2 linked regions of the Struthio camelus genome follow. The main gene of each other region encodes a partner of the protein of the gene in region 2 in a complex. Links are inferred from orthologs where the notes say so. Each region holds a gene or a part of one and is shown on either strand. Other genes may lie near its edges.

The links. The genes of interacting proteins can lie anywhere in the genome.
Region 1: PHLDB2 (region 2) and PPFIBP1 share a complex: the UniProt entries of both Homo sapiens proteins name them as parts of the cortical microtubule stabilization complex. The link is inferred for Struthio camelus from reciprocal best matches to the Homo sapiens genes PHLDB2 and PPFIBP1.

What each region holds. Positions count from the first base shown.
Region 1 is NC_090942.1:77,322,042-77,329,859, reverse strand, and holds the start of PPFIBP1 (liprin-beta-1), read right to left. Parts: upstream 3,063-7,818; 5' UTR 2,933-3,062; intron 2,679-2,932; exon of another isoform or gene 1,986-2,678; intron 979-1,985; exon of another isoform or gene 839-978; intron 1-838. UniProt on the Homo sapiens protein: May regulate the disassembly of focal adhesions. Did not bind receptor-like tyrosine phosphatases type 2A.
Region 2 is NC_090942.1:102,251,641-102,258,547, reverse strand, and holds the start of PHLDB2 (pleckstrin homology-like domain family B member 2), read right to left. Parts: upstream 3,028-6,907; 5' UTR 2,821-3,027; intron 2,176-2,820; exon of another isoform or gene 1,644-2,175; intron 1-1,643. UniProt on the Homo sapiens protein: Seems to be involved in the assembly of the postsynaptic apparatus. May play a role in acetyl-choline receptor (AChR) aggregation in the postsynaptic membrane.

The DNA of each region.
Region 1 (7,818 bases), about 25 Mb from region 2:
CATGTTCTCAGACCTGCCCCATCCAACCATTCAGACTTGACTTCAGACAATAGACTTCATAGTCTGTATCACAAGCGAGTGATGGGACCAGAAAGGCTTTCAGCACCACATGGGAACCTCAGTCTCCTGGGAATGGCCACAAGTTCAGGAACGTTAACACCTATCGTTACTTAGACGTGGGCTAAGTAATACTCCCCATTCCTCTCCACAGACCTTTTCATCAGGACCCACTGTTGCTTCCTGCCACGTGTCTTACACTGCCTTAGCAGTGCAACCCAGAGCAGAAACGGTCCGACACCTTGGCTCACTCGGCCCTAGCAGCAGCTGGAAACAGCAGACGCAAGGCCACGCACAGAGTGCGTCAGTTTTGCATCGAGTTAGGTGTCTCTTCTCAGAAGCTACTACTGTACAGCAGGGGCAAGCTGCCCAACGAGGCAACGAGCTGTCTCCACAGAAGAGCCTCTAGCACAGCACTGCACAGGAGTTAAAAGCCCCAGAAACAGCAGCTGCAGAAGCTCCCAGGAGAAGTAAAACAAGCACTTAAAAGCAAGAGTGTAAGAAACGTCCTACAGGCTCAGACCGAGGGTCCATCGAGCCCACTGTTCTCTAACAGTAGCAATAGACAATGCCATCCAAGGACAACCTGACTCTAAGCAGCCACAAAAAAGAAGGCATTTCCCACTGTATCTCTTCTTCTCATCACCTGCAGAACTGGATTTTTATTGTAAGAGAAAGCAAGAAAACAGAACAGTTTGGACCTAGGGTCTTCTACCAGAGAGCCACTCAGAAACTTGATGGTTCAGTAATAAAATAGAGGATTCTTGTCAGACCCTCTTACCTTTACCTACTCCAGCACAGAGCAGACCAGCTACTTGGCCATGCTCTTCTGCCCACAATCTGGATCCAAGTGGAAAAAAAGATCACATTCAACACAGTCTTCTGCCTCATGTGACATCCCTGACTTCAAGGTGCTCCACCCTGCATTTCAGGGACAAGCAGAAATGTTACTCATCCATATTTCAGGAGCACAGAGCTGCTGTAAACATACACAGAAAAGACAGACCAGCTTAAATATTTTTCACTAGAACTACTAAACCCAGATCTGAGGCAGCAAACAGCACAAAACCCAGGTCAAAACTCACCAAAGCTGAGGAAATGCTTGAATCCAGACCCATGCTTTTTGACTCAGGCTCTCGCCAGCATTGCATTTAAGAGGGTCAGCAGCTGTTGAACACTTAACAGCACCTCGTTCAAAGAGAGTATGCCTCAAAACTGGAGCAATGCTGCTTAAGATAGAGAATCAGCTGCTAAGGACCAAGCTCTACCGCTGGGCAAACATATGGAGCTTCTGCTGCCATCAGAGAGGACAGAAACATCAACTTCATACTCCAGGCACAGGGACACCAATCTTAAATTATGAGCAACGCAGCACCCGCTGACAGTCAGTCTCACTGGCAAACAGAAGAACTCCTTCTGCCTCTAGGAACCAATCTATGTGATACAGCTTTCTAGGAAATTATACTAAATCCTATTGTCAAATTCTCCTGGAATGGGATTGAAGCTAAACCACAGGACGCTACTTCTTGCAAGTAGGAAATTAAGAGCTGAAGAGACAAAAACGTTGGTTGCATTTAGAATCAAGAGTTTATACAGATTTCAGTTTTCCTGGTTTCTGGGATGCCTCTCTAACCTATCCGCCATACTGCCTCACTGAGCAGATGGGGTTTACTGATATCCGTATGCATGTTTTTTATTATAACCATAAGCCATTTTTGTCCTTCACAAACATAAATCCTTAAGCTACGACTGTTACCTTTAATAGAAGCAATACATCTGGATTTGAGCACACCAGAACATCTTACTGTCAGATGTTTGATCATGCAAGCAGGAAGAACATTCTCACTTTGAGTGACCCATTTTTGTTGTTTAGTTTTTGGAATTCAGACACTTGTATTGCTCAACCGTGCAGCCATTTCAATACGTACCAATGCTTACATGTTTTGCTGTTGATAGTGTGTTTCCTTGGGCTGAAATAAAAAGAACCAGCAAAGTCTCTCTCTGAATGCTTCAGACACAGCTGAGCTCGAGCCCTAAACACTTCATCTGTGCTTTTTGCACAGCATCAGCAGTGCTTCACTTCCACAGGAGAGCACATGCATGCTGTTACACTACTGTAAAGCATTCAAAAACACAGCTTGTTTCTTTTCCCACACGGAAATAACTACATAGGTATAAAGCACCTTTTTACTGCTACAGCTGCACCTCAGCCAGGGTGTGAGTTCACACAGCTATTTCAGTTTTTAGAAACATTACAGACCTAAAAGAAATAATTACAGGATGTGCAAAACCCAGGCCTTAAAGCAAAACACATCTGCTAGTTCCAAGGAACAACTCGCAACTTCAGTTTTACAGCGCTTGTAGCTGAAACGTCCTACTGAAGCTTGAAGACACTCAGCTGGAGCTTGCTCGCCTCTCCCCAAAATTCTGCAAAACGCTACGCCAGCTCCAGGCGCGCAAATAAGTTTCCCGAAAGTCACACGCTAACTACAGAGCCTCCCTGCGACCCGGCCCTGCTTTCTCCTTCCAGGGAGGATGCAGCGAAAGCAGCTCGGGAAAACTCAGCCTTTCTTCTCCAGCTCTCAACTTCAAGCCCACTACACGGCCAGGCGGCGATTCTGCCCTCACCTTCCCGGAAAAGGAACCACGGCTGAAGCTTCCCCGCGCGCCCCCGGGCACCCAAGCGCGGGCGCCCCCGCCATCCCGGCCACCCCCTCCCCACCGCCGGGCCCGCCCCGCAGCAGCGCCCGCGGGGGCGGCGCGGCGGGAGCCGTCGGGGCACGGCTCGGCCCGGCCCGCCGCCACCCAAAGTTACCGCAGTTTGGTTTTGTTCGCCGGGGCCCGACCCCCCTGCCCTCCCCGCAGCGCCCCTTACCTGCGCCTAACGCCCCGCGGGCTCCGCCGCGGCGCCTCCGCCTCCTCTATGGGCTCCGGGCGGCCGCCACCGCCCGCCCCGGCCCGGCCCGGCCCCGCCCGCGCCCTCGCACACGGCGGCCGGGACCCAGCGGGGCCGCGCCGCGCCGGGCGCCCGCTGGCGTCACTGCCCGCCCCGGGGCCGCGCCTCCCCGACGGGGCGGGGGGAGGCAGCGCCGGGCGGCAGCTCTGATTGGAGCCGGCGGCTGTCACTCCGCGGGGCCGCGGCCCTGCCCTCCCGCACCGGCTCCTCGCCCCCACCCCCCCCCCACCCCGGGGAGGGAGGGAGGCGCCTCCCGCGGCGGGCTTCGGCCGTCGCGGGTCCTCGTGGTGCCGCAGGGTTTGCGCCTGCGCGGCTCTTCCCGCCGCCCGCGCCGGCATGGGGGAGGCCCGGCCGGGTGGCGTCGGCGTTAGGTGACGCGGGGAAGGGGCAGCGTCGGAGCCTCGAGAAGATCCCCACCTTCTTTACGCACGTTGCCGACCGCTTAAATGAACGGGCGGCGGCCGGCGACGTCCCGCGTTCATCAGTTGCCTCACCTCTGACCCCTAAAATGAGCCTTTTCCTTCACGTTTCCCTCTGGCGTGGTGACGTGGTCAGCGAAGGCCGGCCAACGGTCGCTGCCAACGGTCGCCACCAAGCTCCTGTTCAGGAGGGGAGCCGCGTTAACTGACAGGCGCCGGGGGGTCCGGCCGGGCGGCTGCGCCTAGCCAGCTAACTGCTTTTAATTTTGTGTCGGGTTTTATTCTCACAGGGCAGCCTTCTTCCACCTGTCGGCTCCTCCAAAGGTTGGGTTGGACAAAACGCTTCATTTCATGGTTTTTTTTTAAGTGTGGGGAAAGAAGTTTTACTGGTACTTAGTTTTGAATCTTGATTTCTAAAGGAGTGAAAGGTTCCATTCAAGAACATGCTAAAAGGAAACGTGTCAAATTTTCGACAGAAATTGGAACGTACCACTTGCTGTTTAAGCGCTTTTCAGGCAAGTCTGCAGTGTTAGCCATACAGTTGTAGTATATCTCAGATTAAAGTGGAGTATAACGTTCTAGACTACAAGAAATGGAAAAAATGCAACCATAATGCAATCGTTCTTGGGTTTCTTTGATCCCTCTAATGTCTAGTTCTTCCATTTCAAAATTTAGGTGTCTAACTACAGTCTTGGAGGGGAGGAGACACTCTAGGGGCGGTTTCTACAGTTGGCCTTTCTGCCTGTTTTCTCAAATCTTCATTAAATCTCCAGCCAATTTTAACCCTTTGCTGTGCAGCTGTGCAAGTTCTCCGCTAATGAAAAAGCGTTAGTGCTGGCTGAAGCACAAGCCTCCCAGATCCAAGCTCCTCACTCCTCATCCTGCTTGGAAATGACTGAAGTTGGATTCGTACAGTAACAAGTGCTTAGGACAAATACTGATCCCTGTTGAGCCCCAATATTGATCAGTCTTTGCTTTCTGAATCAGCTATTCATTTCTGTTGATTTATCTTTTTTTCCCTTTCTTTCTTTTTTCTTTTCTTTTTTTCCCCACATTTTAATTACTTTTTTATCCAGAAAGTCAAAGAGTCTTATTAAAGAATCTAGTCCAAAAGGGCTTAGTCAGGACAGTGTATGAGCAAGTTTTGTCTGGAAACAAATCTGAGCTGACAGAACATTTCAAACAACTATTTGAATTCTTTCTTCAAAGAAAATACCTTTGCAAGTTAAAACAAATCTCTGATAAGGCTTTCTGGCTTGCTTATCTCTCATCTCCCAAAATAGCTTGGCCTTTTTTGCTCCAGGCTGGTTTGTAAGAAAAGGTTGATGTTCTCTACCTTTCTGAAAATGCAGTATCCGAGAATGCAAACATCTCACTAGTCCCTCCTGTGAAGGCTGCAAGAGATTATGACAAATAAGAGTGTTTTCCAACCTTTTTCACTGCTTGACGTGAAAAGAAAGACATCTTCCCTCACTTTGCAATAGTGACACTTATTGTCTCTGTAGTTACAAATCAATACATTGGCGTTAAACCTAAAAGTTCAAGAGCTGTCAGAGGCATTTTGAAGGTATAGCATACATGATCTTCCATTATCTTCTTCAGGCAATTTTTGAATCTTTTACACATTGAAGGCATTGCACAACCAGGGGCACGGTTTTGCCATCCTAGACTAACTTTGCCTACCACCCAGTTGGGTGCTCCTGTCTTTCCTCCATCTCCTGCTTTATGTTGCCAGCCCCTCCTTAGCATCAGTCTTTAGTGGTCTGTAGGTTCCTGACAGTGTCAGGTTGTTTTGAATAAGTGAAAAAATGACTGTTTTCTTTTGTGGAGTTCAGGGGGATGAGCAAGACACCCAAGATCACTGGCACAAAGAAGGTGCTTGGAGCGTGCAGCTGGGGCAGGGGCCCAAGCAAGACCATGCCTTCCAGTGGCAGCAGGCTCTGAGACCAGATTAAGCCTGTTGCAAAACAACAATTAATAACACTTATTAAATCTGCAGGGCATCTGTTTGGTGTTTTTGCCTGAGCATCATTCCTGAAGGATAAACGTACTTCATAGTTTTTAATGCAGTTATCCTTACAACACTCATATGGGCATTACTGTCTCACTTTACACAATTTAAGTGACTCACTTGGATTAACTGGGGGTGTTAATGACTTCTAGTGATCAAGACTTCCATTTTGCTCTCATCTGGAATTCATCTGGCTTTAGCAGCACAGTGGCCGTGAGCCCCACACCTCAGTATCGGTGCTTGCTCACAGGCAGGGCCTTTCAAATATGGTAACGAGCCAAGTACAATGCAGCCAGTTTCCTTCTTTTGATTTCAGCACCTCATCAAGCCCCAGAAGTTTTCATTCAGACCAAAACCACTCCCCAAAACACAACACCTGAAGGAGCTGAGAGATCTTGTTCCAAATGGGAAATGATTTCACACCCAGGCTGTGCACATGCTTTCCTTTCAGGTTAGATGAACGGTGGATTCTGCAAGTTGCCCTCTTTATTCCCAGTGGGGTGTGAACCCTGGAGCTGGGCCAGAGCATGTTCAGGTCAGTCTCCTGGCTACCAAGTCTCCTGGCACAGTTGTGTCAGCCAGAGCTGTAATGAGATAAGATCCTTTGATGGCAGAGCTGTGCCAGCAAAAGCACCTTGTGCAGCTGTAGGTATAAGCAGAGAAAACTGTGCTTTTGTCAGGATAGCTTATTTCGCTTGAGGAAGCTGGAATTAGCTCTCTCAGCAAAAGCTCCATTTTACTGGTATAAACAAAAACCTCCTACCTTGGAAATGTTTGCTAGTTACAATGTCAGCTATTGTAACTATGCTGTCAAAGCTGTCCCGGCTTTCAGCTACCTAAGTATCCTGACTATTAAATACTTAACTATTACAGAGCTAGTTGTTTTAGCCAAAACCACAAGCTTATCTATGCCATAGTGTTCAGTCCTGGGAGAAAGCACCACACAAACAGTTTCTAGCTGTCAAAGAAAGAATTTAGCCTTCCTCCTCATATTCAAATTCCCTTCCGATCCCTTCCGAAAAAGGAGAGGAGGAGAGGAGATTCAATTCAGTGCCAAAAGCATCAACTCACTCCATAGCAGCCTAAGCACAAAATGCCCCCAAAGTATACCCCCAGAACTGTCATACTTCTGCCCATAGCTATTCTATCCCTGCTTCTCCCAGCTAAGCTTTTACAAACATGGTAAGAAAAGCCTAGCACACTCAATCGACTCTTGGACTCTCCAAAGGGATGTTGTGTTGATTCTGCTGTGCTGGCCAGAAAGATCAGTCCAGTGCAGCAATGCTTCAGGCAGGGAGATGCGCCCTGGAGTTTCTTGTTTAAGTCTCTCAGAAGGAAGAATGCTATTTAACAAGTGACCCATCTACTTCTGTGTCCGGCATTGTTTTAAGCGCCCCTTATCCTCTGAGGCTAGATTACCCAGCAGGCCCAAAAGTCTTCAGCTGTAGTATTTGGCGAGATTGCAGCATGAGGAGGCAGAGCACATCACTTTTACACTTGAGAATCTGAGGTGGAGGGGTTAATAGTGAAATCGGTCTGTGAAGAGTCTTCCTGAGGGCTGGATAAAACTCAGCCTCCAGAGAGTGCTGGAGAAAAGATGCCATCTCACACTTGCATCATCTCTGCTGTCTTGGGCATGTTGCTCAGTGTGGCCAACTGCAGCCTACTGAGATGGCTAGTCTGGAGTATTTTGTCTTATCTGGGAACCTTGTGCAGCTAGTCCCTGAACTGAAGTGTCGCCAGGAAAAAGTAAGCTCAAGTTCTTTTCAAGTGGGCAAGAAAGCTTTCCATAAAACTTTGCAGTTGAAAAAGTAATTAGCTGCAGGAACTTCTCCAGCCTGAACACGGAGATGAACCTCAGAGAAGTTTCAGTGTGCAGCTGTGTGACTCACACAAAATACTACTACTAAGGAGAAGCAGCAGCAGCACTATTTACATAAAATGTGTAATAGGCAACCTCCTGGCATGAATAGGAAGTACAGCATAAATAGAGGAATACATACGCGTTTGGTAATAATGGTGTAACTGTTGGAAAGATTTGGTATTTCAGATGGGCTTTGTCTTCCCTTTACTATGGATGATTGCTATCATTAAAAAGAGGAAAGGGGAGATTGCAGTTTAAAAGTAAGTTCTGCATTCTTCAATTTCTGCAGAGCTACAAAACATTATTTTTCTTTCCCTTGAGGTCTCCCACTCACACATTTAGCTATAAGTGTACCTTAACAGGGATGCAATATTCATTAGGTTCATGCAAATGCAGTTTTCAGAGCATTCAGTCTGTATCAGAAGATAATTCTACTTATGTTCAGTAGTTGCTTTCTGGAATACTTGGTAAAGACTACTAGATTAAGAGCTAGTCAGAAACCCTTTAAGTA
Region 2 (6,907 bases):
CCAATCTTTTTCGTTTCACTTTTGAGTAAATGGAATTTCAATATAACCATGACCTTGAGAAGCTGGTTCCCTGGTGCACAGTTAACACTGCCTGCATTATCCTTCAGCCTTGGAAACAGAACAACCTTGCCCCAAGATAGCAGGAAGGAACTAAATACAGAAGGGAAATTAAACTACTGAAAAGTCCTCGTTCTTGGCATTAAATGCAAGAAGGAAAGATTGCAATTATCTAGCTTACTGACACAAACAAGTACTTTTAAACAGTTTAGTTTCCGGTAACTCTTTCCGGGAGACGACAGTCAAATAACCATCTGAGAACACAATCCCTATGTGTGCATAAAATCCAGGTGGTATTAAGATGACACCACCAAATCTCTTTTGAGATGTAGTACTGTGAAAACAAATGATTACCTCTGTAGGAGTTACTTAGATCCTCTAAATTACATCAACTCTTGCTAGTGTAAGCTATTGCTGCAGCAGCCTTGTTCTTCCTCTATGGAAACATCATTTCAGCAAGCCTGCACTGAGCTTTGGATTCATCTTGAAACTTAAAGCCTAGAAAGGTTTGTCTTGTTCCAAGTGTTATTGTCAGCACCACGTATGGCTGCACATTGAACATATCCAGTGCACAAGGGAGGAAAAAAACGTCTTGAGAAATATCAGTTTATCACTCTATAAATACGTTTGTGGTATAGAACAAAGGCGGCAACGTGGTGAGACATCTTGCGTCATTCATCCTCAGACGATCCTGTTACTCAGGGTAGTTTTCAAGACAGATTTACAGAACGCCAGATTATCTTTGTGATATGAACTTTTGGGGGTTTTTGTTTTGGCAAAAAATCAAAGCACATTATTTCTGAGGAATAACCATTACCTTACAGGATGAGCAGACTGTTTGCAAAGCTTCAAAGTTCAAATCAAGATTCCTCTAAGGAAAGCAAAATTAGAGAAACATTTTTGGCTTTTGAAAATTCATTTGTAGTATTTAGGCCAAAATACCAGTGATTGTTATTTTTCTCTGGAGAAATGCCCAGCATGTACTTTATTTGCTGCCAGTAGTCTTTAAAAAGGAAAGGAGAAGATCAAATCAAATTCAGCACTCTTGTAAACGTGGAACTGCATTTAACTTATCAGATGAACTTTGTACTAGATACGATTCAAAGAGTGAACTTCACATGATAATTTGTTCTCTCTCTCAAGAAAAAGAAACAAAGAGTTTTATTTTTCCCTTCAAAGTTCTAGCACCATCTCCACTACAAACTTCTCAGTATTCACTTCCTCCTTCCTTTCCACTGCTCCAAACTTTCTAAGGGTGCCTTATGTTTTTTTCTTCTGCTCATGATTTTAGGTTTCTTTCAAGCTGGAAGAAAACCTAGGAATACTGAATCTCAAACCTTTAAGTTACAACGAGCAAAGAAACAAGCACTCAGTACCAGAAAATGCAAGAAAAATATTTTTACATCTTTAATCCTCATTTACATCATCCTTTAACAACGTATGTTTTTCTCTACCCCAATCTGCCAGAAGGTGACTTTGATGCAGAGAGCAACATCCCTTCAGGCAATCTGTTTCTTAAGGGCAATCATAAAACATGTTAGCTAGAAGCAACACGGGGAAGCAACAAAAACAAAAAACCCACTCACCACAACACTCAGTTCTCATTTCCTCTATACGTTGGATTCCCAAATTCTGACCCAAGAGGAGCTGACCTTAGAGTTATAAAAAGATGTGAAGTGTCTAAGTGCAGTCTGCAGTTCAAAGTGGGGTGGGTCAGGAGGACAGGGCTTGGGCTGCTCTGTTTTTCTGCCATTTTGCTGAACAACTCAAAGAACGTTTCCACAAATGATATCGAAATCTCCTTGTGATCGTTAACAGATGAAATACTAAAGACTTCTACAACTAAGCCTGTTGGAGTCTGATCAAATGCAAAAATTACTCTTTCAAATCCAAGCAAGAGATACCATCTGTGCTTTGTAAGCATCTCTCAAATTTTTCAGTCATTTCAGTGAAACTTGCAAGTCTTTGCATGAAGACTAACTCATTCCATAAACATCTCCTGAGTCACCAGATCTCTTTCAAAGTTTCTTCCTGAAGGTGTTTGCCTCAATTATAAAGTGCCAGTCTATGATGTTATTGCATCATATCATTTCCGCTTTACGCAACTACAGTCTGACTAGCCACCTGGGTACACCAGTGCCTAAGGTACCACTCTTCACTTCCTTTCCTCCACAAAGAGGCTCCTCCCTACAGATATGGCAGCACAAAAGCCTCAGTACTAATTTTGCTTTTAAGTTAGAAGTTGGGCATAAGCAATGATATTTTACAAGCGGTTTGTTTTTAACTACAAAAAGCAAAATCGCAAAGCAAAGTTTAAAAGAAGAATTTACTCCTCCATTAATACTAATTAATTCGCAAGCACATGGAATTTCAGCCAGTACATAATTATAATGATTTTTTTTTTTTTTTAAACTCCTAACTCAGGAGACTACGATGACGTTAACTCTCCCACACAAGACAGTCTTTGTTCTCACTGGCTGCTGAAAGAAAGAGTACCTACTCATCGATGTTGAACTCTCTTCAATCTACAGCTATAAAACTATATAGCCATTCATTAACAGTATATTTTCTCTCAAGCAGATCCTGCATCATTCTGCAGTTTATCCCCAAACTATCTTTCTACTGTAGATACAGATATCTAAGACAGAATACAGAAAGAGACAACCATTCTCTAAGCGAAATATAACATTGCTTTTAAATTAAAGTAAGTCTCTCTAAATTCAGAGCAAGTTGATTTTAAGCATTATTATCTTAACAATTTACCTGTACTGGGAGTTACCTGTTAATTACCCTGGTCACTCATTTTCTTCCCCAGAAAATAGATTCCCCTTCCTCTCAACTTCAGGTGCTCACACCGCTAGCAACTGCATAGAGCAGAAACAAACATTAAATCCTGGATCCCTGAGAAATGTGGCTGAACTTAGTAACAAATACCAGTTCAAAGTCACTTGGTTTGTTTTTCCTGTATTTGCTCTCCTAAGACCTTGACAAACCAACCCCAGGTACTGCATTTAAATTAGAGCTGGGCTTTTTGGTCAAACACTTTTTTTTAGTCTTATGCAAATAACTGCTTTGTCACCTAAAAGTGATCAGAAGAGTCAACAACAATAGGCGTTACTTAACTCCCAGAGCCTGCCAAGCATTTTGCTCACCTTCCGGCAACGTGTGGAATTAGAGCAGCTGGCAACATACGCCAAGTTTCAAGCTGGCTTTGCTCCAAACATGAAAGAGCTTATCCTTCACAGCTAAAAATCTGCATGTAAATGCTGCAGTATCTCCTAAGAGGCAAATATTACGCCACATCTATTTCAGGAATGATTCTGTTTAAACAGCTAGCCACAGGTTTAAGGCAAAAGTGAAACTCTGCAAAGGCCATGCATAAATTTGTTGCAGAACAAGCATCTAGCTTTTGCAGTCTCATTATATGCTTTGTAAAACGTGCATGTGTGTGGGTGCACATGTGGAGCATTCCTGAATAGCAGACTGAAGCATGGACACCGAAATCCAGCAAACCTTCCAGGTAAAGCAATATGATGAAAGCCCACTCACCCTTGCACCCAAAATCCCCTCCAAGGTATGCGATCCTTGACCTGGGGGAAACAGTACACAGAGTGAAAAAAAGTAATATGGCTACTGCAAGCTATTTAACATTTTTACATACTGGCACCTTATGCTATTAGTCATAATGTTGCACAGATACGAATTCCACAAAAACTAGTGGCATACTCCTCTCCTACAATGCATTTCAGACAGGTCATTAAATCAGTTGGCTATCTAGTTGACTGTTAATCTAGTCAGACCGTCCTTCAGGTAAGTGGTTACAAGCCAAAGACTGTAGGTAGGGACAGAAATATGAACTCCCATCTCTACCTTTAGGACTTTTAGCTCCACAAACACAGCACCTTTTGGCTGCCAGTCAACTGTCTGAACAAGCAAGGGAACCAGGGTTATCCATTCCCCCTCCTTTGCCCCGTGCACTCAGATACACCCACATTCTCAAAACAGTTGAAAGCTGAAAGTAACCCGAAGAAGGGGCTGGCTGATCTCAATGGGGTAAAGCAGCACGCAACATTAACCCAAGCTTTGGGGGCTATCATCATTTCATTTCCAAATGGAGTGTTATTATGGACTGTATTACAGCAGTAGAGGCTACACAAATACCTGCTTGCCTTTGAAGATATAATTGGTCCAGGCATTAGCATGCTTTTACCCCTGTTTTTTTCAGGCAGAGATACAACTGCATATGTATGCGAGTGCAAGTATACAGCTCCCTAACCGCTCTACACTACTACTCCCACAAAGAAGTTCCCAGCACATTCTAAAAAATAAGCATGTTGCCCAAGGTCTGACTCCCTAGGGAAAATAACACTGCAAGGTATGGCACCTCCTAAAATGGTTTATAGATTCTCTTAATGACACCATTCTGCACCACATAAAAAAAAATAACTGAACTCAGTGTAATTGACTCGCAACTTAATCTTTGTGTATCAAAATAATCAACAGCACAAAACACATAGTAAGATGATTAACTCAAGTGGTACATTTATTTTCAGGATTTAAAAAACTCAAGAATAAAGATACACAGGAGTGAAACAGAAAGAAACAATGTCAAATTTATCTGCAGTTAGAACGAAGCACTCTGGTTTCAAAAAAACTGAATTGAATTAGACAGACGCGTAAAGCACAAAGTGCCAAAAGAAAGAAGAGAAATTGCACAAAATACAAGTCGAGAACGTGTAGCTCCTCTATACTTGGCTCCCTCTCCTCCTCCCAAGGCATAAATAGCACAAAAAAATCCAACTGCAAAATATATTTAACATTGAGCAAAATCCAACAATATTATTTTACTACAGAATGTACTGATCAATACAAACAGTTTTAGAATTAAGAATATATTGCAGTTCAATGAGATACAAACAACAGAAATTTATCACAGGTCTATGACAAAGGGTAAGAGAATCACTATATCAAACATGACAATAAGTACTCAAAAATCCATATATAATGAACAGATTCAAATCGTTCTGAAGCTGACATTCCCATTTCAGTCCCTACAATTTCTATTTGATCCTTGCCTTTAAAAGGTAAACTCAATTTACTAAAATGAAGATTTAGAGAAATAAATGTGTTTACACACACATGCACACTCTTGTTCAGTTAGAATGACATACTGAATCAGTGGGACTGATTTCCTGTGTAAAACAGATTGATTTAATTAGTCTAAATCAGACTGCTAATAGGATTATATTTGGAAGGTATGACTAAGTACATCACTACACTTACCTGCAATTAGCCCAATGTACATGTGAAATTTATTTGCTCTTCAGCATGTGCTCAGGCTCTGTCTGTTGAGTCAGAAAGCAAAACTTAGTGAACTCTGTGTACGGGTTACATGCAGGTTCTCTGAATGATACTGACTCCTTCCCTTCACTACTACACTCATACCCCCTAATGATATCAGCTCTCCAGCACTAGCGTCACTGTCAGAGAAGCAGAAGCTCAGACTTAGAAGAATTCACAAGGAATTTCAGAGAGTTTTGAAATCTGTAAGTTTTCTTGCATCAAAAACTGTGAAGATATGCACAATGGGATCTTGACGGAAAAGTTTTTTTTGCTTCAATTTGACCTTAATGCTAATTGTATCACACAACAAAGAAGTCATTAGAGGGAGAAAAAAAATCAAAATGTAATCAAAGCTCTTTTCCACAGAGTTAGTGTTTCACTACTACGGAACAATTTTTCCAATCTTAACTCAAATAAAGCCCATTTGAATTTGCAAATATTTCAGTTCAACAAGATTTGCACCCTCTAACAAAATATTCTAAGGGTAGTTTTCTCTAGTTCTAATTACTGCCTTCTTTTAAAAAGCTGAAAGCAACTATTAGTAATTAGCAAAGGGAGGCCAGTGCAAACATTGCGACCTTCTACAGTGTCTTGTGTCAGCAAACTGAACTGGGACTCTTGCAAGCATTAGCACCATGCAGGTTTCCACTATTTCTTCAGTGTATGCTCTGGCTGCCAGATAGTGGAAAAAGAGCTTCATTTTCATCAGACACCCACAAAAAAAAAATATATCTTTTTCACTGCTTAAACACATACATTTTGACCCAATTTAGATTCTGAATGAACTTTTGGGTTAGCTCCATTCTTCCCCAACATTAGACAGTTTCTCTATGCTCTTACAACCACTAAAAATTTGTCTGAAGTTCTTGTCCCAGAAAGCAGCCATCTGACAGAAAACTTGAATTAGGGATGGCTAACAATATGCTCACATCTGGATGAAAGTCTTCCTAAAAATACATATGGACTCTATATTAAATATTGTATATTCAAAGAAATCTGGAGTCACTTTTCAACTGACTTCCATTTGTAACCTAATTTTCAAATAAAAATGGGTATCTTCTATCTTTAGCCATAACATTCTAAAAACTGGTCTATTATAACAAGGAACTCTGACACCTGAGACAGGTACACAAAGAAAATACTTTCAAAAGTTGAGCTAGATCAGAACAATGGCTAAGTATCTTGGCAGATGCCCCAAAAACGCTGCTCTAAAATGCTTCTTCAGCTTTATAGGCCCGGTAATTTCTAAACTCCAACTTAATAATACAGTAGCAACACAGCTGAAAACTGCAGGTGTCAGGAGCAATGATACCATTTTCCCAGTTTTTTCACTCTCCTCCAAGGAGCATCCAGCAGAATTTACTAGGTGCCTTTTTGCAAATGGCTTTTTCTCTCCAAGCACTCCCAGTCTGATATCTGTCCTTGACACCACCACCCCTGAAACCTGCCTTGCCAGCATCATCTCCAGAGGGATCTTCACCATCACAGCAAAAGCCCTACAACTTGG